Linked DNA regions of Bombyx mori. The protein of the gene in region 2 binds, or shares a complex with, the protein of the main gene of each other region. Links are inferred from orthologs where the notes say so. Each region holds a gene or a part of one and is shown on either strand. Other genes may lie near its edges. The genes, in order: cleavage stimulation factor subunit 1 and protein suppressor of forked.

Region 1 (3,835 bases), on a different chromosome or scaffold from region 2:
TCGGCATCAGAACCCTGTGAGTAATGGGTCGGGTTTCAAGGCTCAATCGTATCTTAGATACTATCGGCGCTTTCTTCAAGTACTCAAAAGTCAGGGGAGCTTACTGAGGAAAGCTGATGGCGATGTTACTAACTTAGACGATGAGGCAATTATAGCTGTACCTTAAAGCGGCCTTGCTAAGAGCCACTTAAAGTCTAACGTGCCGATTTCCATTTTTCCTATAAAACTAAAATTCTGAAGGCTCAACAGAAATATTGAGGAGTCAGTCTCAAAGCTGCGTCCCCGAAACCACGATTGGCGCGCGATATTGTTAGATTAAGGTCGCCATAAGAACAATCATGACTAGGAGATTCAACCCGCAATATTATAATTTGCGTAATTACTGGTGGTAGGACCTCTTGTAAGTCCGCGCGGGTAAGTACCACCACCCCGCCTATTCCTGCCGTGAATCAGTAATGCGTTTCGGTTTGAAGGGCGGGGCAGCCGTTGTAACTACACTGAGACCTTAGAGATTATATCTCAAGGTGGGTGGCGCATTTACGTTATAGATCTCTAGAGGCTCCAGTAACCACTTAACACCAGGTGGGCTGTGAGCTTGTCCACCCATCTAAGCAATATATATTTTTACGCAGATACGACCACACTGATGAAATTACAGCGCTCGATTTTCATCCCCGAGAACAGATCTTAGTGTCGGCATCAAGGGATAACTGCATCAAGCTCTTCGACATCACCAAAGCATCAGCGAAGAAGGCCTTTAAATCAATTACGGTATGCATCGAGAGTTCTACACTACACTACTACAGACGCAGTCTTCTGCAGCTCTGTACTGATCCCGAGCTCTTCTCGTATACAAACAGACACAGATCCGACCTACATCTAGCCTCTAGTCCTATACTACACTACTACAGACACAGTCCTCTGCAGCTCTGTACTGATCCCGAGCTCTTCTCGTATACAAACAGACACAGATCCGACCTACATCTAGCCTCTAGTCCTATACTACACTACTACAGACACAGTCCTCTGCAGCTCTGTACTGATCCCGAGCTCTTCTCGTACACAAACAGACACAGATCCGACCTACATCTAGCCTCTAGTCCTATACTACACTACTACAGACACAGTCCTCTGCAGCTCTGTACTGATCCCGAGCTCTTCTCGTATACAAACAGACACAGATCCGACCTACATCTAGCCTCTAGTCCTATACTACACTACTACAGACACAGTCCTCTGCAGCTCTGTACTGATCCCGAGCTCTTCTCGTATACAAACAGACACAGATCCGACCTACATCTAGCCTCTAGTCCTATACTACACTACTACAGACACAGTCCTCTGCAGCTCTGTACTGATCCCGAGCTCTTCTCGTACACAAACAGACACAGATCCGACCTACATCTAGCCTCGAGTCCTATACTACACGTTGGTTGGAACCTCTGGGTCTGCGGAGGGACTTTGGTTCCCTCTGCATTTTGTACATGGAACATCCGTGGGGAGTGCTCTGAGGAATTCTTCGAGATGATACCATCGTTTTTACCATCGCACCGCCAGCCACCGGCGTAGAGTTCATCCATACTATCTGGAGCCACAGTGCGTTTCCAGAGATATTTTTGCCACGTACCATCCGGCTTTGGAATGAGCTCCCCTCCACGGTGTTTCCCGAGCGCTATGACATGTCCTTCTTCAAACGAGGCTTGTGGAGAGTATGAAGCGATAGGCAGCGGCTTGGCTCTGCCCCTGGTATTGCTGAAGTCCATGGGCGAAGGTAACCACTCACCATCAGGTGGGCCGTATGCTCGTCTGCCTACAACGACTACTGTAGACACAGTCCTCTGACCCTAGGACGCTGAACCAGTACTGTGCGTGGCCTTTCATCCCCTCGGAGATCACATCATAGCCTCGACGACACATCCGGTTATCCGGTTATATGACGTCACTACGAGTCAATGCTTCGTCTGCCCTATACCATCTCATCATCACAAGAAACACGTCAATTCTATTAAGTGAGTATAAAATTTTAAATGCGCACATCTGTCTGTTCGTCATTCGATTTTTTTTACAGTTTTGTATGGATAATGTCGTCACTTAATAGTTAGGTCTCTGACTGCATAGAATTCTGGTTGCATCGTCACAATAAATAGTTGTTTTTAATACGCTTTTAATAGCATCAGACGTATGTTTGTAACGGAATCTTTGAACATGATTTTGACCCTCTTCAAAACGTTGGATTAACTCGAAATTTGGCGTACTTATTAAGAGCCGATGACAATTCAAAATATAAAAAAAAAAATTAAAAAATTTAAATTCAAATAAAAAATGAAAAATAAATAATAGTTTAAAAAAATTAACAAAATACGCTTTTATAGAAAATCCAACAAACAAATAGATTTTTTTTTAATAAATTTGAATTAAAAATAGTTTAAGAAAAAATGATTTTATTGTAAAACAAGCGTGGGGTGCATGGTATCAGTAGTTATCAATATTTTATGATCAGATCGATACTAATATTATAAAGAGGAAAGATTTGTTTGTTTGTTTGTTTCGAATAGGCTCCGAAACTACTGGACCGATTTGAAAAATTATTTTTCCATTAGAAGCCGACATTGTCCATGACGAACATAAGCTACTTTTTAAAAAAAAAAATTTTTTTTTTTTTTGGTATCATGTGTGTTTTAATGTTTCCGAAGCGAAGCGAGGGCGGGTCGCTAGTATTTTATAATTTTGGGGAAAAAAAAAGTTTTTTTTTGTTGTTGGGTAAATCCAAAAAAAATTCCTTTACAACTTTGTTCTGTTACGTTACTTTACGTAAATTACGTTGTGAACTTTTTGGCATCTAATTTTGGACTAATGGCATCCCAATGACATGGGATTATAATGCAAATTGGACTATTTTAAGTGAAGTCTAGTAAATGTGAGTGTTATACAGTTTTTCTCATAACCCAAGTCTCCTCAGGAAAGGGATATGGAGCTTTTATTGTGCTTTCTCTACAGATTCTCGCCTAACGGTAAGTATTTTGCGAGCGGCAGCGCTGACGGCTCCATAAAGCTGTGGGACACCGTGTCCAATAGATGTTTCAACACGTTCACGAACGCTCACGAGGGATACGAGGTCTGCTCGGTCGCTTTCACGAAGAACAGCAAGGTGAGCTCGAATTGTGAACGCAGATCCGGTGATCCATAACTAGAGGTCGGAGTAGGTAGACTGATTTAAGGTCGTTGACTTCAAACGTAGAGGATAATATGGATATGCCTCCAAAATACTGGAACTTCATATTTACTTATTGTGATATGTATTTGTCCGGAATTATGAAATTAGCATGTATCTGTGTTTAAGGTGAAAAACGTACTAATAATATTAATCAACGCTACCAGTGCTAGCTAATGGTGAAAGAAATCAGTATTTTATTTTATACAAAAACGCCTTGGAATAGTTACACCGTATTTTGTCCCTTTCTGTTGAATTAGAAATGATGCTTGTCAGTATGAGACAAAACTTAGACAGGGATTTTTTTTTACTTTATCTCATAAATATAGAAATTGTATCCGATGAGGATTGAAAATATTTTTTTTCAATTTTAAAAAATAATCGTTATGGTTAAAATGGCATGTCCATATTATAATATCTTGACGCAAGTATAAAAAACAATCTACCTACTCCGACCACTGTCATAGAGAATTATAACATTTTTGCAAAAAAAATATAACGCGCAATGTAATATGTTCAATTGACGCGCGGTCAATGAACTCTGACGGAACGTTGACTACCCACAATTATTGTGGGTACGCGAAAAATGCTCACTAAAATGTTACTATTTATTTATGTTTCTTT
Region 2 (2,750 bases):
TTGAAATTCAACTAATAAATGGAAAATAAATTTTAAGCAAATTTGAGTTAAAAATAGTGTAAGAAAAAATGATTTTATTGTAAAAAAAAGCGTGGGATGTATGGTATCAGTAGTTATAAATATTTTATGAACAGATATGAGTAGAAGGGTTATTCTGATTATATCCTGAAAAGCACGCCACGCTTTTTCTACAATAAAATCATTTTTTCTTACACTATTTTTAATTCAAATTTATTAAAAAATTATTTTATATTTTTCAGTTGGATTTTCTATAAAAGCGTATTATGTTAGTTTTTTAAACTATTATTTATTTTTAATTATTTAGATCAATTTCAATTTTTTAAAAAAAAATATTCAAGTACTATGTGGCGCAGAGCATGTCTTTGTGGCGAGGCTTGGGGGAGGCCATGTCCAGCAGTGGACCTCTGTGGGCTGATAAGAAGGTGACGCTCGAGGAATGTGGGACTTGAAAACGTATCGATTTTGAGGAAATTCCTGTGGAATCGATTTAAATCGAATCTTTTCTTATTTTTTTTGGTTTTTTTATTGCTTAGATTTTACAACGTAAATGCAGACGTCCACTTTGGGATATGAGTTCTAAGATTTCAGTATAGTTACAACGGCTGCCCCACCCTTCAAACCGAAACGCATGACTGCTTCACGGCAGAAACAGGTGGGGTGGTACCTACGTACCGTACGGACTCACAAGAGGTCCTACCACCAGTAAAAGAAGCTATAAACGTACATAGAAATGCGACATTACCTGGTATGGGGTGCTCCCCGGGTAGTGGGTTCGACTTAGGTTTGTACGGAATCATTTGGTTGGTGTCCGGACGCGCAATGTCTTTGTTAGGATCGTTGTCTCTGTAAACAAAATATATTGTTACTTTGGTAAGAGCAACGCCATCTATCGAGGAGTATCAGAAACGAACATCCAAAGAAACTAGTAACACCGAGAACGTTCCAGAAATACAACGCCATCTATTGTTAGATAGCGGAAGCACTCGACTTGCCCAGAATGTACTCGATAAATCTAGGGATGTCGTATCGACTATAAAAGCGTTGCAGATATGGTACGAAGTTAATTAGTAATCGGATCTACTCGAAGCGAAGCGGAAGAATTAACTACGAGTTTTAAAGTGTTCGTTAAGTGTTCTAAGTGTTAACACAGTTTTAATCTGTACTTTTGTGGAACCTTTATTTATCCCGAACCCCAGCGCGTAAGTATATTTATAAAATTCTAAATCAAACTTCGTTATATTAAACAAACAGACGAACGTCCGGAGCGGTTCCAAAGTCATTTATTAAGTCATATATACATATATATATTTAGTTTGCAATATAGAAATACTGAGGGACGATGTCGTATGATCGTTGTATGGTCTCGTCGTGCGTTTTAGCTTCAAATGACGTCACGCGAAATTAATTTACAGGAAAATTAAAAAGAAGTGTTTTTTCTTACTACCCTCCCGCTAGGAGCCTAGAGGGGTTATTTGGGCTGTATCAAGACTGGTAGGTGAGCTCACGAGGCTCCAGCCTGACGACGTTGCTAACACTGGCCCTAGCCAGAGAAAGAAAGTTTAGAGATGCTGAAACGACAAAAGGAAGATCTTCCACCGAGCGAGTGATATTTGCTCGGTAGACCGACGGTCCAAATGTTGTTGTTCGGAACTTGTATATATGCGCTTTTATCTTGAAAATGTCGTAAGCGAGATTCAGGCATCTGTCAATTATCTTGCGTTGTATGATGGCTACCTGCCACAAAAGAAAAGCAGGGTTCCATCAAATACATTCGCATGTGATTGTGATCTCTTTTGTAGAGATCATCTCGAACAATTCCTTAGAACATACCCCACGGAACACATAAAAAGCTCCGGAACATATACTTTTCACCTACCCATTTGCTGGTAGACCAAGGGGCTATCCCAATTACGAGTTAATGAGTAGGTGAGCTCACGGCCACGATCTGAGAGAATTAGCTAACACTGGCCCTAGCAAGAGCAGTGCTCCGCAGAATCTACCACCGGATTGGAATCGTGACCCATTGAGAAGATCCGGCGAGAAACTATTTTATTTTTTTATTGCTTAGATGGGTGGACGAGTTCACAGCCCACCTGGTGCTAACTGGTTACTGGAGCCCATAGACATCTACGACGCTTCAAACCGAAACGCATTACTGCTTCACGGCAGAAATAGGCAGGGTGGTGGTACCTACCCGCGCGGACTCACAAGATGTCCTACCACCAGTACCAGTGGGCTGTGTGGGTTAATAAAGCTACTGCGCTACCTCTGCCCCAGGATGACGGCCGCCAGCTCCGGCGAGATCCCCGCCAGCGGCCCCCCGAGGGCCCACGACTTGTTCGACATGGAGGCCACCTGCGAACCGAGACAGATTTCATTATCACGCATCAGCCAAACCGTCCTGCACGTTGTCAGAGACCTCGCCGCCAACGCGAGGAAGCACCGCGGCCCTATTGAGGCCTGTTCAGTGGACTGACCTCAGTGTACCCTATAGACTTCAGCTCGGCGATGCTGCACGGGTACAGGTCGAGGAACTTGTATCTGTCCACCAGCTGGGCCGTCTCTTTGCCTTCGAATTCTTTTATCTGCAGAAAAAATGTTGATTCAGATCATGTGTTATTTCTGTGTTTGTGGGAAATGGGTTTACTGGTGTTAAGACTTCTTGTGAGTCCGCACGGGTAGGTACCACCCGCCCTGCCTATTTCTGCCGTGAAGCAGTAATGCGTTTC

The links.
Region 1: the proteins of protein suppressor of forked (region 2) and cleavage stimulation factor subunit 1 are in contact, whole or in part, in a crystal structure (PDB 6B3X), measured with the Homo sapiens proteins. The link is inferred for Bombyx mori from reciprocal best matches to the Homo sapiens genes CSTF3 and CSTF1. Residues at the interface, in NP_001317.1 of Homo sapiens: Tyr581, Pro582, Lys583, Pro584, Asp585, Thr586, Gln588, Met589, Ile590, Pro591, Phe592, Pro594; in NP_001028693.1 of Homo sapiens: Arg118, Glu216, Ala217, His226, Pro227, Ser228, Asp230, Phe231, Thr240, Arg242, Leu243, Tyr244, Cys251, Phe252, Val253, Ser254, Cys255, Tyr270, Ser272, Ser273, Ala274, Asn275, Gly291, Val292, Ser293, Asn294.

Annotation. Positions count from the first base shown.
Region 1 is NC_085130.1:10,343,524-10,347,358, forward strand, and holds part of cleavage stimulation factor subunit 1, read left to right. Parts: intron 1-632; coding exon 633-771; intron 772-1,848; coding exon 1,849-2,009; intron 2,010-2,997; coding exon 2,998-3,148; intron 3,149-3,835. UniProt on the Homo sapiens protein: One of the multiple factors required for polyadenylation and 3'-end cleavage of mammalian pre-mRNAs. May be responsible for the interaction of CSTF with other factors to form a stable complex on the pre-mRNA.
Region 2 is NC_085129.1:20,048,371-20,051,120, reverse strand, and holds part of protein suppressor of forked, read right to left. Parts: intron 2,607-2,750; coding exon 2,499-2,606; intron 2,377-2,498; coding exon 2,288-2,376; intron 865-2,287; coding exon 764-864; intron 1-763. UniProt on the Homo sapiens protein: One of the multiple factors required for polyadenylation and 3'-end cleavage of mammalian pre-mRNAs.